3 linked regions of the Neodiprion lecontei genome follow. The protein of the gene in region 1 interacts with the protein of each later gene in a pairwise test. Links are inferred from orthologs where the notes say so. Each region holds a gene or a part of one and is shown in the gene's direction. Other genes may lie near its edges. The genes, in order: calmodulin, protein abnormal spindle and myosin-VIIa.

Evidence for each region.
Region 2: the proteins of calmodulin (region 1) and protein abnormal spindle interact in a two-hybrid assay, tested with the Drosophila melanogaster proteins (2 studies listed by BioGRID). The link is inferred for Neodiprion lecontei from reciprocal best matches to the Drosophila melanogaster genes Cam and asp.
Region 3: the proteins of calmodulin (region 1) and myosin-VIIa interact in binary tests that used the Drosophila melanogaster proteins (3 or more experiments, as listed by UniProt). The link is inferred for Neodiprion lecontei from reciprocal best matches to the Drosophila melanogaster genes Cam and ck.

What each region holds. Positions count from the first base shown.
Region 1 is NC_060263.1:23,724,310-23,737,070, reverse strand, and holds calmodulin, read left to right. Parts: upstream 1-4,530; 5' UTR 4,531-4,828; coding exon 4,829-4,831; intron 4,832-8,544; coding exon 8,545-8,719; intron 8,720-8,854; coding exon 8,855-9,097; intron 9,098-9,659; coding exon 9,660-9,688; 3' UTR 9,689-10,329; downstream 10,330-12,761. UniProt on the Drosophila melanogaster protein: Calmodulin mediates the control of a large number of enzymes, ion channels and other proteins by Ca(2+). Among the enzymes to be stimulated by the calmodulin-Ca(2+) complex are a number of protein kinases and phosphatases.
Region 2 is NC_060261.1:34,027,965-34,037,749, forward strand, and holds the start of protein abnormal spindle, read left to right. Parts: upstream 1-4,231; 5' UTR 4,232-4,407; coding exon 4,408-4,419; intron 4,420-4,650; coding exon 4,651-4,824; intron 4,825-4,985; coding exon 4,986-6,498; intron 6,499-6,585; coding exon 6,586-6,790; intron 6,791-6,875; coding exon 6,876-7,073; intron 7,074-7,151; coding exon 7,152-7,306; intron 7,307-7,381; coding exon 7,382-9,785. Other genes in the region: chromodomain-helicase-DNA-binding protein 7, read left to right, coding at 1-1,318; peroxiredoxin-6, read right to left, coding at 2,242-2,379, 2,859-2,931, 3,003-3,220, 3,316-3,472, 3,881-3,966. UniProt on the Drosophila melanogaster protein: Required to maintain the structure of the centrosomal microtubule organizing center (MTOC) during mitosis. May have a preferential role in regulating neurogenesis. Required for germ cell mitosis and oocyte differentiation.
Region 3 is NC_060264.1:23,438,135-23,447,788, reverse strand, and holds the start of myosin-VIIa, read left to right. Parts: upstream 1-4,203; 5' UTR 4,204-4,298; intron 4,299-4,317; exon of another isoform or gene 4,318-4,738; intron 4,739-7,296; exon of another isoform or gene 7,297-7,309; 5' UTR 7,310-7,338; coding exon 7,339-7,356; intron 7,357-7,851; coding exon 7,852-7,965; intron 7,966-8,043; coding exon 8,044-8,190; intron 8,191-8,527; coding exon 8,528-8,712; intron 8,713-8,822; coding exon 8,823-8,944; intron 8,945-9,044; coding exon 9,045-9,301; intron 9,302-9,440; coding exon 9,441-9,606; intron 9,607-9,654. Other genes in the region: angio-associated migratory cell protein, read left to right, coding at 924-1,128, 1,223-1,479, 1,724-1,868, 1,939-2,138, 2,225-2,401, 2,481-2,662, 2,733-2,805. UniProt on the Drosophila melanogaster protein: Myosins are actin-based motor molecules with ATPase activity. Unconventional myosins serve in intracellular movements: can function in cells as a single-molecule cargo transporter.

The sequences.
Region 1 (12,761 bases):
GGTATAATATGTAATTAATGTATGTACACCAAATTCAACGGTTAAACCGATTACCTTGTAAATAATAACAAAAAAAAATATATCAACGATATTAAACTGCGTTATCATCGAGGGTGTTTTATTCTCAGCATACCAGAACAATGATCTGTAGCAGAATATTTTCCGATAGCCGTATTAAAAATCCACGATTTGGCACCAATTTTTCCTGTTCATGCAACACGCACTCCATTAGTGAATTAAAATTGATTAATCAAGGCAACACGAAACCGCTGGACTTGGTTCAACGGAATAAGCCTCAACAATGCACTACAATTCGTCAAGGACGTGCGGTTTCGTCATATTCATCAGTCATTTTGTTACGTATGACGTGAATATGTATACTATAGGTAGGATTTCATGCTCAATGAAATTATAAAATTATGAAGAATCCATAACGAACTCAATATCGTTGATTCGTTAGAAGATATGGGGTAGGAACGAGAATAATCTCATTAGGTAATACTTTCGCATTATCTGGCTGTTAATTTCATATGCTTTCTGTATCAGTGACGGATCCTTGACTATGTATAAAGATTATCACTGCCTTTGAGCAGTTATTCGTGCTATGAATGAAGATGGGTATACTATAACAATAGATTAATTAACTACTGCCACCACGGATATTCTGTATTAATGGCATTTCTAAAGAATTTCTCGCATAACACTACAAACAATCTGCAGGTCAAATCTGCGCTAGATATATTACACGCGAGGTCAAAGGTATGGAAATTTTATTATCACGAAAACTCAATTCACTTGCATGTCCTAATTAATACTGTACTTAATAGTTTTTTTAAACGCAATTATACGCGTTCTGCCCAGCCATTGTGAAGCTGTACGTTTAGTTGACTAACTAATGCGATTAGGGTAATCACTTAGCCCTAAATTTTATAGAACGTTCTAATAAAGTTCACGCTAGGTATCGGTGATTAATTCAAATGTGTGCCTATACACAACAAAACAGTTTACATGTTAATGCCCCCTGAACTATATACTGACTTAATGATTGGTTCGAATCAGCGAGTTTGCTGTACCGGTACAAATTATGATATTGTAAACTTACAGCTATCAGAACCTCGTATAAGTACGATATAACGATCACGTATCGGCTACATACATATCAGCATTTACAGCTATGTGTATTATATATGCTAAGGAGTACATACGCATGTATAATGTATATTTGTGTAGCATGGGCTTTGCCCGCTTAACAGTTTTCGAATGGCCCGAAGTACTCTATACAGGGTAGGCTTGGACAGGCTTTTGGAAAATAAGGATGATTGCACGATGAGGAAGCTCTATGGTAATCGTCTATTCCAGTTGACAAAACGAAGTACAGGTTCATAACGATAAGTTAATAATAAAAATTTTGACGAATTAGCGAATCTGAAGATTCCCGCAATCCCCACGATTTATTATGAAAATAGTCAACACTCCAATTCTGTTTGTTTTACTCATTGAAATTGATTTGGAAAGTCGGTTTACTTCCCTAACGACTCTCGACTTATTCTGGATCTCGCTGGTGGGGCCAGGGTTGATTATTTATTCATACGACGTCAAGTTCAAAGTGTACGTTTTTGAATTAGTTTAATTATTGAAGGTACAACGAGGATTTATTATTTCTCCTGATACGTATTGTCGTTTGAGTGCATGCTATACATATATAGCTATCGTACATATACTCGTATGTACATGTACTACGTATTTATGTAAGAACGCGATTATGGTTATAATCTCGCTGTACAACAATAAAGAAGTATTCCAGATCACAGAGATAAGGCTGCTCAAAAATATAATACGTTACAAAAGTTTGTGCCGTTTAGTTAATCAAGCAGATTAATTGCGGTAACGTTGCCGGTTCAGATGACCTTGGAGTCGCAGTATAATAACGAGCATTTATTTGTGTAGCACGCCCTTCGCGTATCCCTCCAAAGCTTGAGCTTGCAATAAGAGTAGGAATTTATATTCGCACCGTTGTGTGCCGGTAATCATTATCTGTCAAGAGTTGCCGCATACCCTTATTTAACTGATTAACTACCCCAACAGCCGGCTACCAATTATTATTAATTATTCCGCGAACTTTTCAACGAACTGGCAGTATTTATGATCACCTGCAGCGAGCCTGACTTTTTCAAGGACGTACAGATCGGAAGCATATATTTATAGTCCCGACCTGCAGTTGTTGTTAATATTCAGTTGAAGATCTGGTTCACTTATCCCCTAGGAACAAGCATTATCGCTGAATTTACTTTTTTTATTTTTACCATGTATGTGTCGGCCAGCATTGATCTTTACCTTCGGCTTTGGTAGCGGCGTGTACGTGTTATACATACCCGAGCACAAGCACGCGGCTTACTTTACAGGAATAAGGTAAATAATTTATAAGGCTGGATAATATTATCCGATGCGATCCCAGGTAGATTTTCACAGGTTTTTCTACACGAAGTGTATAAACGCGCGAATATTTCAGAGACACATCACAGGTACGTGTTCTCTGTACAGTGCGCGCTGCGTTGATGGGCGACGTCAGCTGATACCTGCGATGACACAGTTACAATAATCAGGCCAGGTAGCTGGTATATACGTGTAACTGAATCGAAAATCGCGTGGAATGAAATTATTGATATTTATGATTATGTCGTTATTCACGATGCCCCGTTTAGGCTCTAAACATTGATTACTTTTAGGTACGCTGACGGATTTTACACACGAAAGCTTTACGTCATGCTATATGTTTTATACTATAAACAGATAAAATGAGTAACAGGCGTCTATTATTCCTACACTTTTTCTTAAAAACCCAATATTTCAACCGGTGTATAATCGTGTTTGAAATACTACACAATTATAGCAATGACAGCATCTCCGCTGATTATCTGTTATCTGATAAAAATCCACACTAGTCATCCGCCCTAACGAATTTCTCCCATGCTTATCTCTATCAGCAGGTAGTCCCCGCCTTGTTACCTCTTCCATTTAACGGTGTGACTACAGTGTGACTCAAAATTACATAACAGGCTTTCAGAAAAGAAACACGTATATACCCATATGATTCACGGCAGATAATCACCGTGTGCATGTGGGTAGTCAACACGTCAACGTTATCACGTGTATATAATTATTATAGACTTTTCATAACGAAAATTAGACATGAGATGAAACGGCTAATGGGTGGGTGTTCGCTAATTTTTATACACTCAGACGTGTTTTCTTCTGAGCACAGTCATTATGCTGGATCATTATTACTTTATCACGTGTAATCGGAAATGTATACTGAATTATATGAGCGTATAAGCATATAACGTGTGAGTTCTAGTTTTGTACTGCACATTGATCAAGGAAAAATGTGTTCATAATTAAAATAGACATTATCATGCATTGGCATTTTTGACGTATTTTCCAAGCCTAGATACGTTTCAAAATAATGATATATCAATGTTTATTTTGCACCAAATAATTTTTTCAGTTACATACATAATATATTCGTTCCGATTCTAGATATCCAAACTGCGAGTGCACAGATAAAAAGGTCTCAACTACAGACGATGTGCTCTTTACAGTTATATGATTTCTCGTCTATTTCGCGATTATTTCGTTTCATACGACAAGATAATAGTTTAAATTATAGAATGCTTTCAGAGTCAATAATAAATATCGTCAAGCCTGCATGTTCGTGCGCTAGACCATTGATAAATATAATCGTTTTAAGATTTAACTCACTTCTCAGGAATCTCTAACGAGATTATGTCCTGTGTCGCATTGCGCGCCCGCCTGCGCATAGCCAATGCGCACTGGGTATGCGGTTTGAACGCGTCTCGATAGACGCAAAGAAAATTTCACCCCAAACCATTATATTGCATATTAGGAATTTACGTCGTTTTATGCAACAAAATTTCCTCGCTTTCAACCTAAATATTTTCGCACCTAAAAATTCGCATACTGTAACAGGTAAAAATAAAGCGATAATATGGAATGCAAAATAATGAAGAAAAATTTTAATTCTCATTTGAAAAACTTTACTTTCTATTGTCGAGACGGCTTGCAGGCTAATAAGAATGAAATTCAACTTAGAAATTGTTTAAAAATTCTCAGCTGCGAGGATTTTACAATAATTATACATCGTATACATTTGAATGCATAATATGCGGCAGCGTTGGTGGTGGCGAGATGCCGGCGGGGTACGTAAATATAACAGAAGGATGAAAAGGGCCGAGAGGAATGAAGGAACGAAGGACGCAGGAGGATAGGAGGGATGAAAATGTAGGGACGCAGGCAGCCCGGCAGCGCACGCTGCAACCCCAGAGCCAGCTAGCCCTGCCAGCACCACTCTGACCCGTTCGCAAACTGTACAGGCTCTAGTGGTTGACGCATTGCAGGTGCGTAGCAGCCAATCAGAATTGAGCTTAGTTTGGACGTTAGACGAGTCGACAAGGAAGTCTTGTAAACAAGACCGCACCCAGCGCTTATAAAGCCTACTCACATGCGCGGCTGAAACTTAATCCGAACTCAGACCTCGATATATATGGTTCATCGGTGAATAAATGTATGATAAATTATTATTCCTGTGTTTTATAGTTTTTTCATTTAATTTATAAAAACTTTTTCAAACACCGCGCAAGTTTTATTCACAGTTATGTGCGACATCGCTATCGTGGCGTAGTAACACAGTATTGCCTGGACGACTGAGAGACCCTCTCTTCCATTATTGTCCGAAGTGTATTTCGTGTCAGCGGCGCTGGTTCGTAGTGGAGTTTGTGTAGTGTGCCGGTAATATCTAGGAGAATCTGCAATGGTGAGTTGTCGATTAATCGTATTCAATATCATTTACCTATTCGCAATCATTGGAATATCGAAATTTCGACAACTTTCACAGATTTTACCCGCAACATAGTAATGGAATCCGGCCGATTGCTCGCTGCTCGAGATCTGTCTCTATTCGACATTCTAGCCGAATTATGTACTGCGTTTTATTCCGTTATATCGTACGCTAGGCTTGCCTCGATTTTATATATACACATATGTATATACACATAAATATATAGCTACAGAATTATCGTTAATAATTAATCTCATTCTAATTGAAATGAATCCGACGTAACTTGTGGTCTATCAAAATATCGGTAGATCTGATCAATCTACTAGACACTGTAAAGAATCAATTTGTCACCGGACTCTGGTGTTGATGAAGGCGTTGTACCGTTAAAGGTTCACCAGTTGACAGTTCTTACCGGGTCGCGACTCGAGGTGCTCTCGTCATCGGCAATTGTGAATGCCGGAAAAAATTCCGCCTACCTCGCAAGAATCATGCCAATTTTAAATCCCGCTATTCTTTTTCTCCATTTTTCATTTACCTGCTCGACGTTCTGTTACGTTGCTTTACAACATGCACGTATTCCGATGCCCAAACGATAATTTTCAGTCGTATAACCATCAATATATTACATCATAACAATTATTACCGCTCTAGACGATCGACGCAATTCTACGGTGAGATACTTGTATCATGGTTCTAACAATCTACCACCGGGAACACTGTTTCATTAATCTGATCTCTACCGTCCTAAATTTCTTCGAATTCCGTTTTCTCATTTCGTATCATTTATCGAGAAGCCTATATTTATACACATACGTTACCCACGTGTAAGCGGAAATTATGTTAGTCACAAAATTTCCACCTATTCGTGCTCACTCGTGCATAATATACCTGTAAATAGAACATCATTCATATTTCCATGTTCACTGGATTCTACGATCATCGGAGTAAACGATTAAATAAACAAATAAATGAATACAAGCTTGCGCACGATGCTCCATATAAAGGCCGGTAAATAGTATGGCAGCCTTTATGGCGGCCTTATACACCCGCTATTGATTTTCGTAGTTGCTCAGTACAGCTCTGTCATGTCCTCTTCTGTCTCTCTTTCTCCCTCCGGTCCCGCCGTGCTTCTGTCCCTCTCCTCCCTCCCCCCAACCCCCTTCTCGCTGCTTCCTGGTCCCTGGCTGCCACCTCTTCTCCTTCCTGCCCCTCCCCCACCCCCTCTAACCCCTCCCCTCCCAACCCTCGACCCGTTGGCCGGCGCCACCCCGAGAATTCGCGAACCTGCCACTGTGCGACGTTGTTCGGTTCACCTGCAGCGTTTTGCCGCAAACGGCAGAACCGTTCGAACCTTCGATTTGTGAAGAGTAGTGAGGTTATTTTTTTCATTTCGTTATCACCGAATACCCTAAGCCGAAAGGTTTTAACAAGATCGCGATATGGTACGTCTATAAATATAATTTATACATGTGTATTCGTACAAAGATTTTGTCCGATTTTCTCCGACGCGTTTATTGATTTTTTTTTTTTTTTGCCTTCACTTGATGTGATAGTTTCATTTAAAATACATTGGGCAAAGTACAGATAAGACTAAAAATCGTTAACAAGAAAATAACATAGACGCATATGTTTCTTAAAATCAGATTAAGAAGATAAATTTTCGGGCTTTACTTGCTTGGTGGTGAAAATAACTTTCTTTACTTTAATATTAACTTATACTTATTAATTAAAATGAATTATAAAATACGTCTAAAGCGATGATCTAATTGATTGCTTAGGTTCTGGCACAGGCTGTACCAACTGCTATAGAAAGCGTGTTTATTGCTGAATGTGAAAGGTCGAAAAAAAAAAACAAAAAACAAAATTGTTCACTGGTAGCAGTATTTTATTTAACCAGGTTATTGCATGCTGCTGGATAGTGTAAAAATTTGCTTATCAAAATCTGGTTTAAATCATTATCACTGACACTTGGCAATTTTTGGGACTACTATTTGGTTTATCTGATAATTTATAAAATCTATCCTTCAATCAGTTGAGCCTAATGCGATTAATCAATAAATAACAGTCTGACATATTTATTTTATCTTTGAGGCGTGACTGTTGTAATACTACCAGTGATTACCAGGAATACTATTGAAACGTGTCTGCGATCAAAGATATTTATCTTAGACATTTTCATTTTAGCGATTTTTAATGCTGCTGATCTAGCAAACTGCAATATGCATGAATGAAACTAATTGTAAGTTATTGTTATGGTCATTTATTGGTCACTGAGTTTATATCGGATGTGGTCAAGAAGTATTTTGCATATTAAAACAGTTCACATAAATGTAGAGAACTCTCGTCCATACGTATAATACGTATAATTCTTGATTTTTATGTACAACTGCATCAAAACTCCCACATGAATTTATTATAAACTTATAGCCTGCAACGTCATTAGTGGTGTACAGTGACTCAGAAGATACATTTCATTTACTCAGAAATTGTAGGATTAAATTTTATGCAGAATTCTTCTAATTTTCTTCTTGCACATTGTGATATTCTTAGACCTGAGTCCAACTGAGGTAGTAATAAACATATGCCCGGTTTTTATTTTTTTTTTTTTTTCAGCATTATATTGATAAGTTCTTACTTACACTTGTACCGTATTTAAAGCACAATTATTGCCCTGTATTTATGAGGTCATATAAATGTTATTTCATATCTATAAAATTTTATTGCAATGATTAGTGGTAAGGACAAAACATCCCAAGACTCAATTTCCATGCATCAGATCACGATTCTAATGGCAACTCATTGCAAAAGCGAATATCTGTAACGAATGACATTTACTGAAAGAATTCTTTGATAAATCAATTTTATCACGACTCTGATTAAGTTTTTGAAGCATAATGATACTAATGTCCGGACTTTGGAATAATCAACTCTCTGACTCGGAACCAGAGCAGATGCTACTTGAACTAGGAAATCTAAATAGTTGTAACAGACATTTTTTTCAAACAAACATAGAATCATTTGATGTTTCACAAATGATTTCAGTAATGACATTTTTTCTATGGAATATCGAGATCTATTCGTTCCCATTGGTTCTTTCTTTATTGCAAGTTCTGCATTCACCTAATAATGATGTGATAGATTTACATTTTGCAAAATTGAAGGCCAAAGTATTGTGAGTTTGGAATTCATATTATTGAAATTTACACCGTGAATTCTTCATGAGAGACTTAACTTTGCAGCCTGTGTTGAAGAAAGATGGGCATGTATTTAATTTTGGTGATATGAGCAGATTCATTTTGTTCCCTTTCAAACAAAAAGTTGGAAGGGCAAAAAAAAGTCGCCAGAAGAAAAATCTCCAACATGGAAATTTTGCAGTTTGTGTTCAAATCCTGTTGTGATCTACTATAGTCCTTTTTCTATTTTATTCGAATTTGTTCTTATCTCCCAAACTAAATACAGGCCCGTTACCAATTAAGGGCACACGGTTTTTTTTTTATTACAAAGACCATGATACGAGCTACAACATAGTAACAGGAAAATGAAATTGGAAATGATAAAGGTCACGGTCACATTAAAATGGTCAGGTATTCCCGCATCATATATTCCCTTAAATCACCCTTTAATTTAAAGAAATGTTATGACATGGCTCTATGTATTGAATGTAAAAACATTAAAACTTTTATACACAGGCTGACCAACTCACAGAGGAGCAAATTGCAGAATTCAAAGAGGCGTTTTCCCTCTTCGACAAGGATGGCGATGGCACGATAACAACCAAGGAATTGGGTACAGTAATGCGATCACTTGGTCAAAACCCAACGGAAGCAGAATTGCAAGACATGATCAATGAAGTAGATGCTGATGGTGTGTATTATTCAGTGCTAATTGAATTGATTTTTTGTTCATTTCCATTTATAATTCCCCGTGTATATCATGTCCAATAAAAATCCAGATTCTTCATTCTTATTTTATTTTTTACATCTTTGAAAATCATTTCAGGAAATGGAACCATCGATTTCCCCGAATTCTTAACGATGATGGCACGTAAGATGAAGGACACTGACAGCGAGGAAGAGATCAGAGAGGCGTTTAGGGTATTCGATAAGGATGGTAACGGTTTTATCTCAGCCGCCGAGTTGAGACATGTGATGACAAATCTTGGTGAAAAGTTAACAGATGAAGAAGTTGATGAGATGATAAGAGAAGCTGACATCGACGGTGACGGGCAAGTCAATTACGAAGGTAAATAGTCTTCAAACTATTTTCTTTCCGCTTGTTTTTGGTTTCACCTCAGGTTTATGTCGTGAAAATTACCGAACTTAGAAAATACATGAGATAATCTATCTTTTCGTCCAAATTTTGAAATGGTTCAGACATTAATGTTTAATGATCCACTTGTCTGGATATAAGACATTTGAAAAGACCGTTCTGGCAGAGACAAATGTAATTCATTCAGTGTTCTTCTTTTCTACCACAGAACCCACATGCGTTATAAGAGTAGCTTTGCTAATATTTATCTAACCTTTGATATGCTGTGTCCACAATTATTTCGTGAATGAAAGTGTAATACTACACGTGGAATTGCTTGACATGTTCGTCAAATATCTTCTACAAACATTCAAGCACGATCAAATATAATTATTTATGAGTGTTAATATTGCACTAGAATTTAGATAGACAACTTCCTGTAGTTTATCTACATTTTGATTGTTTAATGACTCAATTAACTTGCGTGAAATAATGCGAAAGTTTGTAATTAAATATACGTATTTATTTCTGTTCTTTGTTTTTTTATGTTTTACAGAATTCGTCACAATGATGACATCAAAGTGAATGCAAACGCATGTTTGGGAATAATTCACAACTAGGAGTGGTGTTGATAATGAAGTGAATACCAGAATATAAAGCTATCATCAACACTTAACATAATACTATAATAATAAGTAATAAAGATAATTAATACCAACCATCTTCATCGTCGGCAACAAAATCTTAAAGTATAAATATTGAAACTGCATTTCTGCTTTCCAGTCTTAATACATCGTGAATTGGAAATATTTAACAGTATCATGAAAAGTTGGAGTAGACCTTTGAATAAAGTTTGATGTAATTTACAAGTAATAAGTAAAGTACTATAGAACATTTGCGATAATCATCAAATTTTGTTCAAAGTTTGTGTAATTTTTTAAGAAATATATTCAAGTATTGTGTTTGAATTAATAATAACTCTGAAACTACCCTTCGTATCTTGTTTTAATTCTACATGTCCGTGTTTAATGGGAAAAAAGTTAAAAAGAGAGAAGAAAAAAGGAACATTATTTGAACATTATCTGGAATTTATGTATCGTAGTATTATAAATTATAACTCCTATAACGGAATCACATTCTGATATGTAAAAAAAAAAAATTACAAAAAATGTCCGTGTTAAATAATACTTCGTGGCATGATACTCGGCTCAATGTGACAGAGGAATGTATCAACCCATCAATAGGTTAATAGTAATTTAAAATAGTATTGGTTTATACTTTTAATTTATACATTAATATGTGAGAAAACGTAACGTAACATAACAAAAACAAGAAAAGATAACCAACAAACGAAATATTAATTAATGCTTGATTTTTTCAAAAAAAAAAAAAAACAACAAAACAAACAAAAACAAATATAAAGATATATTATTTATATATGCATATGTGTATATGCATACATATGTACATAAATAAATATATATATTTATATTTATTTAATTTTTAATACCATAATGATCACCACGTAAAGTAAAAGGAAGTGGGGACACACAGGGATCGTGTCTGACTGACCCTGTTAACATTCCTTCTCATCCCGGACTGTATGAATAACGCCCTCACTCGATTAAACCTGACATGACCAACATTTGACATGTTTGTAGACAAACAAACGAACACGACACACTTCTCCTCAAAATGAGGACTGCACTGCACAACATCAGCACCACTTTTCGAACTATCGATCGGTGCACTTTCTGGCACTAGTTTGACTATTGCACGGTTAATGGTGCAAAACAGACTGGTTGGCTGGAGCCATCACACGTCTTAATGTTACTTAACCAACGCCGATATAAGACCATCGGATCAGTCATAATACATGTAATATATATTATATATTAAATTAAAATTCCTCCACAGTCTTTATTTAATAATGTATTTGGTGACCTAGGTTGCATTGATTATAAAAGACAAAATAAATGTATCCTCATTTTTAGGTCACAAAATTGTCATTTCCTTTTGGAATTCCTTGCATCCTTTGAAAACTGTAGCTACCACTTTTTTTTTTTTTATCTTGATAATCCTTTACGAAGAAAGATCTAAAATAATAGACGAATAACCGTATTGTGTTTCAATCAATCTCCATCACGCATTGATCAATTATGACATGGCTTGCTGAGTCATGAAAATGTATATCCAGACGCCAGGCGTATCACTGTATAGTATAATTTGTACAGTATTTAGAATGGCGTCCAGGTTTTATTACAAATAAGAAGCATTGATGCCATTATTGCAGATTGATATACTTTAAAATGTACGTGTGAGAAAAACTTATTAACATCCACTGTTAGTATATTCAAACCATTGTTTAGATGCATTTATAGCAGAATTATGTACTGTAAAAAAGGCATTCTATGTGAAAAACTAGAAACAGATGGACCCGCTGTGTTCTCAGAGAGAATTTGAACCCACGTCTTCCTTACATTCTTGGGAATAACATAGACTATGGGTTTCACAAAAAATATGTCAGGTTAAAAAAAAATGTATCCATGAGCAATCACGAATAGCTATAGTTAGAAAACTGATTAATTGATCACGCATTTTGGTACCTGAAAGTGGCAAGAAATGAATTAATTAAGTAAAAACACATTAAGAAGTGCACATGAGGCCTATATATCTAAGTGCCAACTGTGAATCCACAACTGTGGTCCAAATTATCAATCTACGACAGATTGCAGTCAATCGTTCAAAAGCAGACTATGAATCGATTTATTGATATCAGAAAAAACTCAGACAAACTTTCAAAATTTTACCTATAAGATCTTATTAATTGACTAACATACACATGAACAAGTGGTATATATCTATTATTCGTTTCATTGACGTTTCTGACATTATTGATATCACTTGACCGTTATTATCAGTTGCCCCGTTTTTTCAAGGAATCTGCATTCGGTATGCACTTTTTCCGTTTTTTTCCTCCCAGCCGAATTCAACAAGACTTGTATAGGTACAAGCTTGTAAGTCAACTTTTTTCTAGTGATTTTATTTTACCTTTGATTAGTTAAATGCTGATCATAGCTATTTCGAAGCAGAAAAAATGCTAATCATGTTTCACTGTTAATCGTAAAATAGTCGGCATCTCAACAAGCTTAGTACCTGCGTAATCTAACTTGAAAATTTTTGAATGTGCAAAGATAACGTACTAATCTGTTATTGCGATTTCGAAGAATCCGTGGCATTTCTTTATTTCTGCGTCAAATGAAAATGTATAGACTGTTTTTGTTCAGACTTGCATATGGAATAGGGGTGGACTTCGATCTTTGGAGATATATACGATACGTCGAAATCAACCAGGGAACCCCTAAATAGTTTGATTTCATACGCATTGTATATAACGATTTAACTGCCTAGAATGACGCAGGTTCGTCGATTTCATCAAAAATTATCACAATGATACGGAACGTAAGCCCAGCTTTTATGTTCAAAATTGTATTTCTTCAAAATTTTCGTCAACTTAAGGATTTTTCTTGTTATTCTAAATCCTCATTATCTATGATATGATGGACTTGGTGTGAAGTAAATGTGAAATATGACCGTATAAAAACTGTTGAAATCAAACGCTTTGGTGCTTTGAAAATTCATCTATCGCAAGTTTGTA
Region 2 (9,785 bases), on another chromosome or scaffold:
ATTTGGGGGGCTGCCCAACTTAGGAGCTCTAGGAGGACTTGGGAACCTTGGTAACCTTGGAAATATGAGCTTAACCAATTCCTTATTTGCGAACCTGGCAGGGCTGGGTTTACCTTCATTAGCTGGTATGGAGGCAGCTTTAGGTGCAACGGCTACGAGCACTGCAGATACGAATACTGCGAATTCGTCTAGCGGCGGAAAGAATTCAAACTCTAACAGTGTTGGTGGATCAGGCAAATCAAGAAGCAAGATGGACATCCCCACAAGTAAATCATCCGCGCCATCTACCTCAACATCGTCATCCCTCTCTACAACAACCCCTTTCCCATTCTTCTTTCCCAATCCTAGTCTTTTATATACCCCGCTCGGTCTCGGTGGTCTCAATCCATTTTCAATGCAGCCTGGTGGAGTATCATCTGCCTATGAAAGTCTCGCTCAATGTGGACTTCTCACTCCACCAACATCCACATCGTCGTCACGCAAGACTACATCTACGTCAAACACTTCCCGCCAAAGGGATTCTATAGCAGATACCATGAAGCGAAAAGACAGCGAAAAGAAATCGCGATATGTTACAGATCCGGGTTTGAGTCTGCAACAATATGCTGAAATGGCTCTTCACAGTGATGACAAAAAGCGTACAGAGCCTGACAAGAAAGAAATAATCGAGCTCAGCCAAATTGCTGACTTGTCAGCAAGGCTGGAACGGAAATCTAAGGAACAAGAGATGAAGGAAGCTCTGGAACAGCTCAGCAGAACAAGCGCAGAACTGCTGACTAGGAACTTGGAGGATTTTCAACGACCACCAAAGCGTGGTCGTAGTGCGGATCAAACTTACGATCCACCACCTTCATTGGAAGTAACTCTAGAACCTATTGTGAAGAAGGTCAAGGTAACCGAACCTGACAATGTGAAAGCTGTTGTTACCAGTGAGCCTCTTGATGTAGAGACGCTCTTACGGCCAACAACAGTTTCTAGGCAATCAACTGAAGAAGAAACGACTCCGTCTCTGCCAACTGCAAACGCGAGCAACGTTAAAGAACCCGAAGAACCTCCTCAGGTAGAAGGTAATCCAGTGCCCACCACCTCAAAAACCGAAAGTAAACCGAGTTGCACCGAAAGCAGCGAGGACGATGTAAAAGGCAAAGGAAAGAAAACTCGGAATGTCAAGCGATTAAGTAATGATCCTCCTCCGGAACGCAAGAATCTTCGATCTAGTGCTGGTCGTCAGGCGAGAGCTGCGGCTGAGAGGCAGGCTCGGTTGGAAGGTGAACAACAGCTTGCCGAACAACGAGAAAGTCACGGTGTCACAGAGTAAATGAATGAATGTATTTTATCATCGAATATGCGGATAAATAGGTTGAAATAAGACGTTAATGGAGTACATTGAACGACGACTGATCTTACGTAGCGGTGATCGTTATAATTGTATTAAAATGGACTACGATGATTGTAGCGAGTTTATTATATATGATAATAAAGTTAATGATACTATTAATATTACTGATAAAAACTAATGATAAAACTGATAGTAATTTATCGTGAGAGCTGGACACGAGGTACATACATACGAATAAAATATAAATACGCTGACAATTATAGGTATAATAATTATTACAAGTGAACGTGTGATAAGCAAACACACATAAGAAAAATGTGACAGTATTTTGCGAGGTAATACCTAGTTTGTGTGGTAATTAACATTCAATTACATGATAACATAGGTAGTATCGAGTTGAAAAAATTTTTCCCTTTTTCGTTAAATTTATTACCTTTTTTGATCTTATTGGTTTTGACCAGGGACTGTTTTATATACATGCTATTGATTATTGCTATCACTGATATACATACTTATAAAATAATACGCATAATAATCTTACTCATGAAGGTAGTTAAAGTAAACTAGGAATAATTTAAAAAAATCATGTAAATACTAAGGAATCCGATTGGTATTGTAAGCAACACGTGTACTTGGAAAAGTGTATATAAAGCAGTGTACTTTTAATTATACGTTAGGTGAAATAATAATAAACGGCTTCTTTCGTTGTTTGCAATTTATCTGGCAGACAAATTTATTCATGTTGTACATACATAAGAAGATTTTATGGTTCGTATGAGAAATCAGGCAACTAAGGCACTTGCCACAAAAAATTACTCTCATTTTTTAGAATGTACATAGTATTGATACTTGAATATTTGGTTCTTATTGTTCCATATAAAAAATTACGTACATGGAGAAAGTTAAGAGTCTATAGGCTGTTGAATGCTACGAAGATATGGTTTACCAGAAGGTAGACTTATAACTTTAATGTCATCCCCAAATAGAGACTTAGCATCTTTGTCATTGACGGTAGGTTGTATCATAACATCATCTCCGTTCTAAAAAAGTTGTGATTCGTGAATGGTATTTAGAAAATTTGTAAAATTTTTGGAAACCATCCAAGGCCAATTTGTCAAATTTATTGGCTGGCACGTAACAAATTTTGAGATAATTCAATTTTTGATGTAACTAGTATGGTTTGCAAGTCTTTTGCTTGTGTACTGTACATAATGTAATTGTTGTGTGACAGTGAAGAAAAAAGTATCTAGAGAACAAAAAAAAATACACTTATGTGTTAGTACTAAAAGTATTCTTTTTTGTACTCCGTTATAAAAACAACGCCGCCACACTTGCAACCACACTTTTGTTACATAAAGTATCGTGAGCACCATGGAGGTAAAGTCTTTTTCGCCACGTGTATTACAGTATTTGTCTGGCTCGTGCATGCACTCACCTATGACTTGTTACAAACTTACACTTAGCGTAAAAAGATCTACTTTGCCTCCTCGATGCACAATCTACTCTTCATTTCAATTACCTTCCAATCTACAGGTGTTGCTACCTTGTGTTTGTCCGTCAACTGTAAAGAATCAATAACTCTCAAGATTTCACTGTAAAAAAAAATGACACATTAACATAAGATTACTTTCCTCCTTCAGACAAAGATAGGCATGATGTATACTCGAAATTCCTTCCTGTTGTAGCTGGATAAAGGATTGAGAGCCTCATTTTCTTCTTAGGGTCTATGATGAAAACTGATCTAGCTGAAACGGGCAAGCCAGTGCTGTCAACTTCATCTGGATCGAGCATTCCTAAAGCTGTCACAATTGTGCGACTTTCATCTTCAATTATAGGATATGGAAAGTTCGCCTCTGTAATTTCACCATAGGCTTTAATATCCTGAAAATGAATTATAACCATTTTATTTGGCATGGAATTATTGATTACATAGATCTTCAGTCATGTTCCTTTAGAAAGTTATCAGCTTTTCGCACCTTGATCCATTGAATGTGTGATTTAACAGAATTACAAGACAAGGCAATAACTTTGACACTTCGCTTCTCAAATTCTGGGATCAACTTTGCTACTCTTGCCAATTCTGTTGTACAGACTGGGGTAAAATCGTTGGGATGAGAAAAGAGAATTGCCCAGCTAAGAACAAGAATTGCTGATTAATATTAAACAAGAAAAAAAAACATCAATCGTTTGTAATCATTTACGAGATGCAATATATTAAAATAATTTGAATACATAGCAAAGGATATTACTGATTGCCAAATGAGAAACAAAACAGATTGATTTCGAATATCTTTTTGGAGAACCGCGAGGTGAGAAAAAAAATGCTTTGAAGTACATCTTAAAGAGAATAGTATCATGTCAACACGACTGGGCTGAGTTCAGAAACCTTACTCGAGTGACTCGAGTATCGTTGTGTCTTCGTTTAATCTCATGTGTCAGACAGAGACAGTATGATATCCGAGTTCACTCGGGTAAGGTTTCTGAACTCAGCCCTGCCGGTAAGATTTATTAGGTTATACGAAAGAGATTTATGAATCTTACGAGTCTCCAATCCATTCGTGAAATTTAATCTGGCCGATATCAGAGTTTGCTGTAAAATTCGGAAATATTTCGCCGAGTAGAACCATATTGAGGGACAATTTTGATTCGTAACCAAAAATCGTTTCGATTAACAAGATTACAATAAATTTGATTGTTTTGCCTGACAACAGAAAAAAATGTAAACAACAACAAAACGTTCCTCACCATTACATGATTGGTAGGAAACCATCGAATATGCGATTGCTATGTGAAAGGATACCTAAGATGAATTCTGGCACTTTCGATTTGATGTGAACTCGGACGTGAGGTCATTGATACAACGCAGCCTATATTCATCGCATTTCGTAACGCCTAGAGTACGTTTACAGTTGTCAAGCTTGAAATTCAAACTTGTATCTTGCGAGGCTAAACCGTTGAACGTTGAATAGTGGGTGTTTTTGGCAAAGTGTATTCATAACGACAACATTACAGATGTATTTCTTACTTTCGTGAGCCAACATTACCTTGAGCTCACTTCACTCTCAACCATGTATTTTGAGGTAATTTTTTAAGCAATTCAAATTACAGTATTACGTGGAAATTTGTAGCGTTCTAACGTTGTTATGAATTACATGCCCAGCATCTCGTTTTTCATAATTTATTGCAGGACACAACTTCATTACTTTAGTTATTTCTGAATCGTTCTTTGAATTCAACAACCAATTATGCTGACACAACTGCCATTTTTATTATTCCTAAATACCTAATAATTGTTTGTTACTTGTACATAGGTTAACATAACACCCAAAGAGAAGGGTGCTGTCATGCACACAGAACCAGACACAAAGATCAACTTGTTGTTGGCTCCTTTTCAACCCCAAACTCGTATCCACATCGAAACTGCTCTGAATACAACAGCGCATTCCTACTTGAGCCTACGTAACCCCAGCAATCGTCTATTGAATGTAATTAATAGCTTGAAGCTTTTCAGAAAAATTTACAATACCGGAGAGCTTTGATTGTATCTTAAACGGCAATCTCATTTGAAATTATTCTTGATATACCAGATAAATTATTAATTCAAGCATTTTGTTAATAGAAAGTTAAAATTTTTGCATCATTCTAGATCCATGTTACAAAAAAACCACCATCGGAACGATCCGTCGTGCTCAGTTTGTCGAAATTGCGAGTTGAGGCTGGCCAGGACGTAGAATTGATCATAAGCTGGACTGCTAGGGAACATGGTACATTCCGAGACATAATACAATTAACTGACAGTCGTCGCATAAAGTATGACATTGCATTGACAACTTCTACAACATGTTCGAAAAAACATGGAGTTGTTGAAAAACACACAGAAAATAAGCAACATATATTGGATCATCGAAAAAAGATTCTTACTCAGAATGCACACCCTACAAAAAAATCAGAGTTGAAAAAAGTGTTCAACATGTCTGAAAATGTATCCAACAATATCAATTCTCCCTGCAATAGGCACAAGTCTTCCGGCATTTCAAGATATCAAGGAAAGGAAAATATTTCTACTTATCCAGTCACTGATTGGCAAACTCCAAAGAAAAGTTCCGCAGGGATTCTAGGCCATCGACAAGATTATTCATTGAATGTATCAACTGCAAAACCTCGTGATTTTTCTATGCTGATAGAATCGGATGTATTTGCTTTAACTCCACATCCGTGGTTCAAAAACGATACAAATAAATCGGAAAATACTGCCTTAGAGAACTCAGAATCATCACCTAATTCTGAAATGCATGAACTGCGACGCCAGACTTATGTAACTGCACCTCTTTTTAAACACAGTACTCATATGAACGAAGATGATCGAGATGGCTTTGAGGATTCTTTATCCCCACAGGAGGCTAGATCCAATCCTAATTCAGATTTTTCATTGCTGCTTAATGACATAAATTTTACATCGAATACACCTCTTACCAAAACTGCTGAAAATTTTCAATTCATTACTGCAGCAAACAATAAGAACGACACTTTTGAAATTGCTAAGGGTTTGGATATTGAAGAATCCTTACATGTACCATTGGATAAGTTCCCTGAACAAAGCGCGAGCAGTCTCCTAGTACCTACTAGGCTTTCTAGAACTTTTGCAACACTGTCTCCTGTTATGCCAGTTGTAGAGCCTGGAATGTCAAAATATGCAACGTCTTCTTCGCCGATTTGGAGCAATGAAAAACAAGACTTTAGTTCCAATTTAAGAGCTAAATGGGAAAGTTTTAATCTGTCTACCACACAGTCCGATATTGGTGCTGTTCAGGAAGTTTTGGGAGCTGATTTATGGGCAAAACCAGTGAACCAATATTCTGTTTTAATAGCAAAAAGTGGGCCAACAAGTTTGGAATCAATTCGGGAGGAAAGTCTCAATTTGACTTCAACAACAAACAAAACTTATGTTAAATCGAGTAACGACTACCTAACTCCAAATATATCTACCACAGGGGCTAATTGCAGATTCGATTTTTCACCGCCTACTAATAACCTTGTCAAAAAAACCTCACCGATTAGAAAGATACCTTCAAGGAAATCTTCTAAAATTAGCAAAGAAAAAAGTATCCAAGAAATACAACATCTCAAAAAGAAAGTTGCTATGAATACATCTTTGAAATGTAAGCTTAGCCAAGTAATTTCCAGCTCACTATAGTCTAGAAATAATTTGTCTGTTAGTCTCTAATTTTTAATTTTTATTTTTTCAGGTAGTGGTAAAGTCTCTATTCCTGGGGTGCGAATCACCAAGCTGTCACTTGCTGGAGTGTCTAGAAAGAGAATCAATAGTGGATTGAACAGAGTCTTCGAACCTGAACTTAGCATGAAGCTACATGATCCAGATGACTTTTTCACTACACTCTGCAATCCAGACCCATTTGCTGCAACTACGACAGAAGATCCGTTTCTTGCAGTGTAATTTCTTCAGATAATTAAAGGAGGATAAATCAAATTTGGTTTGAGTTCCGTGCATTTCTCAAAATGGTATAATTGTTTACAGCACTCTGTATTATGATGATAAATGGGTGAAAAACCAGGAATTGGAATTTAAAAAGTGGTTAAACATGCTACTGACTCCTCCTGAACACCTGACATCTAATGTCGATACTCCATTAGTTGATGTTGCAAAAATATGGCAAACATGCCGATCAAAGGAAGATGTTTCACTTGCAGAAACTAAGGAAGCTCTATCTGCCAGGTATTTTTTTTTTATACACATACTTTTATTTAAACGTTCAATTTTCAAATTTGCTAAAGACCCACACTAATTTTTCAGGTATCACACTAATCAAAGACTGAATACACTACGGAGAGCTGCTTGCACATTGCTTTGCAGCAATGAAGTTGTTTCCGTATTATCAAAAGTTACTGTATGTGTTGAAAAAGGAATTCTAGTGATTAGACAAGATCGCGATCTTCATAAAGACATTGGTAAAGCATATTATGATGGAAAAAAGCAACTGAATTTTTCCAAGAAATGATTTAATTTTTTGTACAATTTCCCAGGGTTGCAGAAATTGATTTTGGAACTACTTCTGTGCTATAACCCATTGTGGTTACGAATTAGTTTGGAAGCAATATATGGCGAAACGATCCCACTTAATTCAAATAATGATATTATTCGCTTGAGTAAGTTTCTTTTAACAAGGTTTTTTGCTGATCCACATATCGTCAAGACTCACTCGCATCCGACAGTCCTAAATCTGCGCCTTCCCACATTTTTCACTGTCATGAATAAGTTCATGCTCAAAAAGTTTCTTTTCATAATTTATTTTCTTGACTATGCGAAGACACATAAATTGATCGGGCATGATCCATGCCTCTTCCATAAACAGTCAGCTTACAAAGAAAGCAAAAAGATTTTGCTACGATTTTCTCAAGAGCTGCTCAGTGGTGTTGGTGATGTTACACGTGTCTTGAAACCCTATGGGTATATTTTAGTCCACAAGCAAACAGAGTTGGATGAGTACAGTTACGCAGTTGATAATCTTTCCCACGATTTACGAGATGGTGTAAGGCTGTGCAGAATCATGGAGCTCATAACAGGAAAACGAAATTTGACCGCTGTTTGCAGAGTACCTGCTATCTCAAGACTACAAAAAGTCTACAATGTTGATGTTGCCTTGAAAGCACTTACCAGTTCCGGCTATAACATTTGTGGTAATATTACAGCCAAATGTATTGCAGACGGTCACAGAGAAAAGACGCTCTCGTTACTGTGGCAGATTATATACAAGTTCCAAGCCCCACACTTTAATAAAGCTGCAGTAATAATCCAGAAATGGTGGCGGGCTACTCTTTGGTGGGTACGAATAAAAAATTTTTTATTAAAGAGAAAGCATAATGCAGCTTGGGTAATTCAGAGAGCTTGGAGATCATACCTTGCAAAAAGACAACTAAAATATCTCAGGGAAAAAAGAGTGCTTATCCTGTCATTGCAAAATAAAGCTGCTACAGTAATACAATTGAAATGGATTGCTACAGTGCAAATGTGGAAACAAAAAAAACAATTTAAACAAATGAAATTGTCTGCTGTAAAACTTCAAAAATTCTGGAGGAATTACCGAGCCACTAATCTCTTTGTAGTGGCTTTTAAACAAAAACAAACTGCTTGTCGTATTATTCAGCAGCACTGGCGTGCTACACAGTTGATGAGGCTCCAAGTGTCTACTTATTTAATTCTTAAGGATGCTGTTACAAAAATCCAGCGTTGGTGGAAAATAAAATTAATTGAGAAAACTGCCTACAACCATTACCAAGCCATTAAAAAGGCTACGCTATTGGTACAGCGCAAGTGGCGAAGCAATCGTCTTATGAAAATTGAACGGGAAAAATATAAAAAGAAAGTAATCTCAATTAAAACTATTCAGGGCTGGTGGATACGTGAACTTGCTTACAGGAAGGATCGACGAAATTTCTTACTGATGAAAGGTGCTGTACTATTAATTGAAAAATGGTGGCTGCAATGTTCGGTCAAGGGAAAGCTACAAGCTTTGTTGAAAAAGGAAATGAATGCTGTGATAACTTTACAACAAAGATGGCGTGCCATTCAACTTTGTCGGCTCCAAAGAAATGCATTCGTATCACTGAAAAAATCTGTTGTCACTGTGCAAAGAAGATGGCGTGCAATCAGAACTGCAAAATCTGTACAACAATCATACATCTTGAAACGAAAAGCTGCAATTGTTATTCAATCATATTGGAGAAACTGGAGGGTTGGGTTTCAGGTACGCTATTATTTTCTTTCTCTAAAAGCAGCAACTGTTTCCCTGCAGAGTCGTTTTAGAGCTAATAAAGCTGCGTCTCAAACTGCGGACAATTTTAACAAATTGAAACAAAGCACTGTTATTATACAACGTAAATGGAGAGCCACGCTATTGAAAAGACAGATTCGGCAAGAATTCCTTTACAAACGAAATGCAGCAATAATGATTCAAAAAAGATATCGTATGGTCGTTGCACAAAGAAAATACCAGGCGAAAAAGCAATCTGTTATTAAAATACAATTCTGGTGGAAAGCTTGTATTGCAACAAAACAAGCAAAATCTTATTACAATCTATTGAAATCTACTACAATTCTTCTTCAGCACAAATACAAAGCACGTAAACTTGGTGGACCGGTTAGAAAAAACTTTTTAACTTTGAAAATCAATGTTACTTTTATTCAACAGAAGTGGAGAGCCAAAAAATTAATGGAACCACACAGAGAAAATTTTATGAAAAAACGACAGGCAGTTAATAAAATACAATTATGGTGGAGAGCTTGCCTAATAGCCAATGACGCAAAACTGTCATATGAATTACTTAAATCAAAAACAGTTTACATTCAGCGGCAGTACAGAGCACATAAACTTGGTAATTTGACTAGAAAACAGTTTTTGACTTTAAAACGAAATGTTATCTATATCCA
Region 3 (9,654 bases), on another chromosome or scaffold:
CAGTTATCGGGTCAGCTAATAACGCTGCTGTGTTGCGACAGTTGGATGATACAAATTTTTGCTCATACCTTTCAAATATGTGTTAAAATACACTCGAAGTTTTAAGAAGCTTCGTTTTATCTCTCCCGAATAAAAAGAAAAGAATATTCTAATATAATTTGACCTTTCTTTGTTTATCACGTAGTGAATAGTTTTGAAGAATTACGACGTCCTCCGCCCTCCCTCGCCCCCGCCTAATCAAGGAAAGTCAACAAAAATTCCGTACGCGTAAAAAGGGATTGACAAGTACAGCAATAAGTCATGTGATTGTACAATTTTGAATCCGGTGTAGGTATTCGCTGCAATTTTCGTTCGATCGGAATTAACGAAAACGCGACCGAAGTGTGGCAGTTTTCTGTGCTTAATTTGCGTATATAAAATATAAGAGCAAGGTCGAGCTCCATAGGCGAGAGTTAGGTCCTCTCACCCATATAAGAAGTTTACTGACCTAGCGGGCGGCAAGTGGCGTGTTATCATGCGTGGGATTCTATGTATTTCCATGTGAAGGCACTCAAGTTTTTTCAGAGCGGGTGCAAGAGAATTTGATTTCAAAAGCAGAACTGATTATACCCATAATACGTGTTCCCTATCTGAAATCAGACGTTACTTGCAAAATCCAAATGACATCAGCATCATCCTTCCTCCTTTAAACCCTCCAAGTTTTGTATCAAACTTTTTCATGTACTATACCTCATTTCGTTCCGGAGATATTCATCTGGGTGATTTTACCGACCACCCTGTATATGTGTAATGCTTAACCTAAACTGATCTTCCCGTGTTGAGTCGCGTGGTATTCTAACCTCCACAAAGGACACCAGAAACGCGTGCTGATGAAGTAAAGCATAATCTCACGTGGCCTCATAACTGTTTGAACGGCGAACAATATGACACTGATGGACACGCCGCCGTCTTCTCCTTCTGTCGACGTAGAAATGGACGAGGATGAGCTGGTATACGTCGGAGATGCTGACGAAATCATAGAAGCCCTCGAACGAGATGAGAGAACCGAAGACTCCGAGGAAGAGGCCGAAAGCTACGAGGAACAACCGATTAAGGACGACGCTGCCTATGTTTTTCGTAACCACGAAGGTAAGTCTCCTTATGCTATTTGGCAAGGTTTGTTGATCCCGTAATTCTGACAACATTGATTATCGTCTACACAAGCCTTCACTCCGGTGTCCAGGGTCTATATTCTGCGGAGCTTTGAATAAAGATGGAACGCTAGCTGCGACCGGTGGGGAAGATGATAAAGCATATGTCTGGGAGGTTTCCTCGGGACGAGTTGTACTCAATTGCACCGGTCATTCGGATAGTGTCACTTTTACGGAGTTCAACCATGATGGGTTTTATCTGGCAACTGCAGATATGAATGGCATTATTCAGGTGTGGAAAATGAGCAACAGAATTCTTATCTGGGACTACAACATGGGCGATATGACGGTAGGCTTATTTATCACATTCCTAACTTTTTCCATCTTGATAAATGGTAAATTTTACATTGGATTGCTGCTGAATTGAAATTTATTGAACAAATTTGAAAAATTAAGTAATAGGAAATGCTTGCAATTGAATTGCAGCACAAAATACGATTTTACGGTCCTTCCGGTTATCAAGCAATCTCAGAATTAACTTCTCCATTATCATTGGATGGTTAAGTTTTCTTTATATTTCATTTATCTTGTAGTGGATGCGGTGGCATCCGATGGCTAACATTCTATTTGCTGGAGCATCAAGTGGGGTTTTATACATGTGGAAAATACCTAGTGGAGAATGTAAAATATTTCAGAGTCACGGTCAGCGGGTTGAACAAGGGGTTATTATGCGTGATGGTAAGATGATATCAGATATTTATCACCGCATCGAGATTTACCTACTTATATCTCTATAATACAATAACAGGCAAACGGATCACGGTTGGTTATGAAGACGGTACACTGAGAGTATTCGACCTGAAATCCGGAGCAGTATTGTCAACAATTTCCTCTGAATTTGGTCACAGCTCTACGATAACCGCCCTCGACTGTAACTCTGATAATAATCTGCTAATATCAGGTGGGATGGATGGAAAAACTATTCTCACTACTTCGCAGTCTGGCAAGGTAAGAACGCTCTTAATTTTTCATTCGGCTCGAAACAAAGTTATTAAAAAACTCGGTCCGTTGATTGTTCAAATAACAAATATCAGGTCACCCGTGTCCTTCAAGACCTGAAAACAAACGTCTCTGCTGGTGGCGACGAAGATGCTGAGGGAAACGAAGGAAATTGGGTGGAAGCGGTGTCATTTTGCAAAGATCCGGAGTATCCAGTTGCTGTTTCAGGCACAGTAAACGGACAGATATTCATATGGGACATCGCAAAACAGGTGGGTCCCAATGGTGAAGGTGGAATCGCAAGATTATTTGTCATTCGCTATGCCTAAATGTGGGATTTTCTTAACTCAGATGATTCGGCACGAGATCCAGCAGAGCAGTGGCATAAGCAAGCTGGTTTGGCACCTGAACACAACACGGTTGTATTCGTCGGGTCTTGACGGAGTGGTGAGATCGTTCGACGCAAGATCTGGTGAAGAGCTTCGCTCCTATACGGGACATCACGCGGATATTCTCGATTTGGTAATCTCTCGGTAAGAATCAATCAACGATTTATACGGTCGTAAACGAAAGCTAAATTAATTGACCGATTCGGTTTTATAGCGATGGAAAGACAATGCTAACCACCTCGGATGACTCCACTGCCCGGATATTCAATATCGGTGATCCAAATTGACACATCACAAAAGAGGATTTATTTCCCATTGATCACAAAAATGCGGGTTTTATCTTGGAGAAAACGATTTTTGATCGACATACGATAGAGGATAATTACCCGTGATTCTTTAATCACACCAATATAATTATCCTCAGCAAATTTCCACATGAATCAAGGATGGTGAAAAATAAATTGTATTATATTGTATACTAGATACTGAACAGTAAAGAATTATTTGTTAACTTAATTGTTACGATTATTATTTGCCCCATTTATGTATGATTTATAGCGCGTCAAAGAGTTGATTCCAGCATTTTTCAAAACTGTCAAAACTTTCAGTAAAAATTCAGTCTTATTTTTCGAGCAAAACATTTTTTCGTCCTAGTATCGTCTTGTATGGCCCTTTGTAGACTAATTGGACCCTCAGGAGCACAAAAAGTTAGCAAAGCGAGCAACAGACCAGCAATGGAAAGATTACAAATCTTTAATTTTTCGGCTGGAACTCTTGATCAGATGCTCGCACCGTATTCGAACTGTGTGCAATCGATTCCTCTCGAAAAATTACGTCGATATAGTGCACAAAGAATTAATTTAACCATTTCTTCAAATCGGCTAAATTTCAACTGAATAAATCCAAAGGGTTTCCTTGCTTTTGTGCGATTTTCAGAGCTCGCAAAGTTTTCGTCTGAGATTCGTTTTGCAGTGCTCTTATTCCACTAATTGGACCGTCAGGAATCAGAAAAAGACATCAAAAACAGCGTGAGTCCAACAGCAGTGGAATTGCCAACGAAATCTTTCGTTTTTCGGCTCTAATCTTGATATGTTGCTCGCAACGTTTTCGGACTGCGTGGAATTGATTCATCATGCGCAATTATGTGAATGCCCACATACAATGTAGATACATCAGTAGACCTGGGGTTCCCCTTTATTTTAATGATTAAAACTTGGGTTTATTGAAGAATCGGTATCGTCTTGACTAACATTAAGCTCCGATTCCTTAAGATCTACTTTCATCACAATTCGCAAATGAAGTGTCTTCATCTCGCAAGAGGCTGAGGAAGAAAGTTTTCCTCACTCGCATACGGGAATAAGTGCGATGCCTAAATAGCACGAATGGAAAGAATTAAGAAACGCGTGTAATCTAAACACTGCCTCCCGATCGAGCTTCGGTTTCTTCTTCCTCCTCGAATCAGTTATCATCATCATCATCATCAGGAATCCGCCTTGTGAGAGCGAGGCGGTCTGTAGGTCAGGCAGGTAGTCGTTGCATCCTCGTTCCTTCTCCGGATTTCTTCCCCTGGTGAGTTCAAATCGGGACGTCAGGTGGGGCCTCTCGTCCTCGAAGTATTGCCCCTGTTCTCGCTCACCTGCCGTAACGCGGTGCGGTCGTCGAATCGCCGTGACTCGCGCTCTCCATTCAGTCAACATTCAGTCAGCTATTTACCTTGCCGCGCCTCGCCTTACTCGCCTAGCACAGCGAGCAGCACGCCGCCACTTCCACCTGGCTACAGGTAGGCATAAGGCAGGCGACAGCCACAGTCACTTTCCGATCTAAACCGAACCTCCCCGAGCGAGTGTGGTGTTAATGTGCCGGTGACCGCGTACCCCGTACGGCCCGTTGTAGCCGTATAAGTGGTTAAAGGTAGACTTCGGCGTTAAAAACTGCTCGGATATTATTCTCGATCGTTTCTTTACCCTTGTTTCATTACAATTATCTTGTTATCGGCGAACCCTCGGTCTCGAGACGCGACGCGCGCCTTCTTAGCGCTCTACTTTTACGTAAATCGCCGCGACTTTAACGATTCGATCTTCCACACCTGTAATAGACGGTGAATATTTTGGGAATGAAAGGTCGCCGAGTACCGATCAGTGTTCTGCAGTGTGCCGCCTTATGGAGTCTTGGGATTTAGCCGATTAATACACCCGCAATTACTTACGCGTATTCAACAAGGTGAGCTAAGCATCTGTTACGTACAAATCGATGTTAATACATACACGTAATATTGTGGGAAGCGACAGGGACCTTGATCTCTGCACGAGACACTGGAAAATTACTACGGCGATCTGTATTTCATTTAGGGATTATACACTGATACGCCCGATTTTTGAAGCTCGGTCAATTGCTTTTTCAATAGTTTCGCCTAGATACACGATCGTGTGTATAGAAAATATTATATTTCTCATCTCTCTCACGCTCCGCCGCGTCTAGCAGGAATCGAACTCTGTAAGGCCTACCGTTACCGCTGACCGTTCCTTCCTTCATCGTGAATTCCCCATATATTTTTGCAGTCAATGACTGCTGTGCTGCTGCTGCTGCTTAATACCCTGGCTGTTGTACGGGATTCCCGATCGGGCGTATCGAGAGACTCGGTAAGCTCTCGCGCCAAGTACACTCGGAGAACAATTTTTTCAGACTCCGGTTTCTCTACCGTAGACACCTTTTTCCTTCCTCCCTACAGTACTAAACGGTGTATATATAGCTGCGTGCAAATTTTTTTGGTACAACAATTATGAGTATGAGTCATACATACCTGAGAAAAGTAATAATTAAACGTCGTGTAAAATTATCGCGTCGCCACGATCCCGCAATTTCAGTACGCATGTATACTGTGATGTAAGCATGTATACTATGCATTAGGTATGACTTATAAGGTACCCAGGAAACGCGGCATTCGGTCAGATCAGCTCGTTATGTCATATGATCAATGTTGGCACAGTTGCGCGTGTGCTTATAATGCACATACAAGTATACGATCCTTCGATATCTATTGGAGTATTTGTTAACCTCTGATTGCTTCAATTACTGAGATTTTCCATGTTTTTATAACAGTAACTAAACGCGCCACCCGATGTAGTGGTTGACCGTTTCAACCATCCCGATTCACTTTGAGACCTGTTAGCTGTATGTTTAATTACATTATTTTGAGCTCCGAATGTGATTTGAATGCCTGATATTCTCGAAATCCAAGTTTCGATGTGTATGTATGCATGTACATACCTATCCTAGGTATGAATTATACATTCACATCTACGAGTCGTGCTTAACTCGGGTCGCGCACGTGCGCGCGGCGTTACGTAGTACATATCAGGCTGAAGTTAGTAACGTTATTGTAATGATTTACGTTTCGAAACAATCGTTATTACACAGTTGCAGAAATGTCTGAAATGCAGTAAATCATAATAAGGCAAAACGTATTCATATTTCGAAAACTGAACTATTTCAAAGTCACTATAAACTAGCGAAAATCATCATGTTTCCCTGAATGTTTCGTGGCCTTAACGTTACTAACTTCAGTCTCATTAGTACCCTCCTGCACATACAGCCAACATGCAGACAAGACATATAATATATCCGATAAACAAGTGCATAGAAATATGACCGCACGCACTCGGATATACCTACGCGTTGTGTAAACAATACAACGAACTCTCACCATCCCTCTCTCGACGTGCAGAGTCACGTACCATGAAGATTGGTGATAATTAGCTATATTGAAAATGAACCGCGGTTGAGGAAGAGAGCCGCAGGAGGGTAAGCAAAAGAAAAGATCTGCAATTTAGTCCGGAGCACTAGACATAACGCACACACGTAAACATCGTCGTCAGCGAATCGGATGTGCGCTTCATTTTTCAGCATAGGTACAGTTGACGCGAATTATCGACTATCGAGTCTTATATGTATAAACGCGTAAGCGGATATAACCGACGACGATGGTGTTATCCAGCCGGGTTGCGCGGCTGTGTACACACTTACTGTACGTGTATAAATGTATACAGGCAGAATATCTAACCCACTTCGCAAACAGGTTTAAAGTTGGCTCTTATACCGTGAGCGCTAACGGTGATTGACCAGGATAACAACTCCCCTGTCTCGCCGCGGCGCGACGGGTCTCGAAGAACAGCATCGGTATGAGAAACGGAAAGGGGCCCGTTTGCGCACGTTAAATGAATAAAATATCTAGGTTCGATCTAGGTATTCTGCAGCAACAGCAGCAACAGCAGCAACCTACTGTTGTAAGTACCGGTGCAGGTTCGCGCGATAATTGCTTATGGTAATTACATCCCCGACGCCCAACACTGAAACACGTTGCACCTCGTGGCCGGTGATTGTTTTGCGTACGAGGCCGAATAGAGCACTCCGGGCATCGTATGCATGTTACGCGTACAACGTACAATACGTGCGTGTATCGACGTCCTCATCCTCTTCGACACCGTCGAAGTTACAGGCTTACAGTACACGCGCATCTTGAATTAAACCCGTGCCCGTTACAAGTCGCTGTGGGCTGTAAGATATGCCGCGGGAATGCGGGATCTATGTAATGATGATGGATTTTTATGATACTCGAAGGCTGCCTGATAAACAGCCTTGTCGCGTTACATACTTACGCTTGTGCCATAAATGTCGTTTTACTGCGCGTATTATTATAATACGTAGTATACGCACTTTTACGCGCTCGGAGATGATGAGGGAAACAATCGTGTACCAATCATCGTGAAATAACGTTATAGATTATTGTTTCAGGTGGCGGGACAGCGGCCAAGATTTGAGAGATGGTCATCGTCACGCGGGTAGGTTGACCCGACGTTGTGTACAAATTATTCACTCCATTTGTTTATTATCTGATTCGCTCCGTTTTATGCATTATATCATGCAGCTATACGTGTACATTGATTTCTGTGGATTATTGGCCCATTGAAAAGAAGAAATAAAAAAATAAAAATAAACAGTGATCAGCCGAATTTGTAAATGGTGAATGCCGATCGGGCGTGGGCCGCAATGGCGACCTCCGCAGCAGTTCCGAGCGCGGAAGTGCTCTTCCGATGTTCCGGTGGCTGAGCAAATGGGCCGAGGAATTAACGAGGATCTTTCGCTGCTCGGACTGCTGTCAAGATCTGTTTACACGCCACTATTGATATAACTAGTATGATACGATACTGTGGAGAAAGATATGATTTACATCAGTTACTTGAAGCCTGCTCCGTTGATTATCAATTAACACCAATTGACCGATTACCTTTTCAATCGGCGCTCGCGCGAAACCTTAAAAGTTCTTAATTTTATAGGGAGATTACATATGGATCGAGCCCGTATCTGGAAGGGAGTTCGACGTAGCGATCGGGGCTCGCGTCGTATCGGCCGAGGGTAGAAGAATCCAGGTCAAAGACGACGACAATAAGGTATTCGCAGAACACCGAAATATTGCAGGTGGTAATCGTTGATCGGTTATTCATACTCGTTAGTTATCCTTGTTGTAGGAACAATGGCTGACCCCAGAGCGGAGGATAAAGGCGATGCACGCTACGTCCGTCCAGGGCGTAGAAGACATGATCAGCCTCGGAGACCTTCACGAAGCTGGTATTCTGAGAAATCTTCTCATCCGCTACAACGAGAATCTCATATATGTAAGCAGTTTTCATTAGTCTAGACCCATCTGTGAGATAAAACATTCCGCAGGTTTCCACGTAAGACGATGCTCCGAGTAAGACATAACGGTGCAATTCACTTATAACTTTATCACTCGTTTCATAAAGCAAACACATATCTTTGCTCAATGCTCGAGACGATTATGGACTAGGAGCGAGTCTTTACCAGGGCTTAAATATATTCCCTCCCTCCGCTGTGTTGCTGATAATAGACTAAATAATAAACTAACGCTGTGGAGTATCAAATTCGAGAGTAACCAGTGGGGCTCAATTAATAGTTTCACTGCACCCGAATGATCCTCACTTTCTTTTATAGACTTATACTGGGTCCATATTGGTCGCAGTGAACCCCTATCAAATATTGCCGATCTACACCGCAGAACAAATAAAACTTTACAAAGATCGAAAAATAGGTGAACTGCCGCCTCACATATTCGCCATAGGAGACAATAGCTATACGCACATGAAACGATATGGGCAGGACCAGTGCATTGTGATCAGGTACTTCCAAAAACTTACAGTTAAGCGAGATCATGAAGCCCGGGCGTGCTGAATTAGGGAAAAATTACTCAGGCCTTGATATTCCTTTTCTTTTTTTTTTTTTCATCCAGCGGAGAGAGCGGGGCCGGAAAAACTGAGAGCACCAAGCTAATACTTCAATACCTCGCTGCTATTAGCGGCAAACATTCTTGGATAGAGCAACAGATACTCGAGGCTAATCCCATTCTGGAAGGCAAGGAGATTCCGAATATGCTATTTCTTTACATATTATCATGCTTAAACTGTTCTGCTAAGCAATCGCTTACCCGATCAACCTTAATCGCTGTCTCTAGCATTCGGAAACGCAAAAACGGTAAGAAACGACAATTCGTCGAGATTTGGCAAATACATTGACATCCATTTCAACGAGCTCGGGGTGATCGAGGGAGCCAAGATAGAGCAGTATCTCCTTGAGAAATCACGCATCGTATCGCAGAGCACCGATGAAAGGAATTATCATATATTCTACTGCATACTCGCCGGGCTTTCCAGAGAAGAGAAGACAAAGTTAGAACTGGACGATGCTTCTACATACAAATACTTGACAGGGGTAAATATTGCATATTGCCGTTGATGATCTACCTCTCTTACCGTGAAACGAATGCGTATAATCAATTGCCATGCAGACTTTTATAGAAATCAAATCATTACCTACTTGATGATAATCTGAAAATTTTGGGCTTTGGAAGGGTGGAAGCATCACGTGCGAGGGACGAGATGATGCTGCAGAATTCGCAGACATTAGATCGGCGATGAAAGTCTTGCTGTTCACTGACGCTGAAATATGGGAAATCCTCAAACTCCTGGCCGCATTGTTGCATACCGGAAACATCAAATACAAAGCAACTGTCGTAGGTTCGTAAAGATATTTAAAAAAATAACCCGTATTATGTCAACAAAACT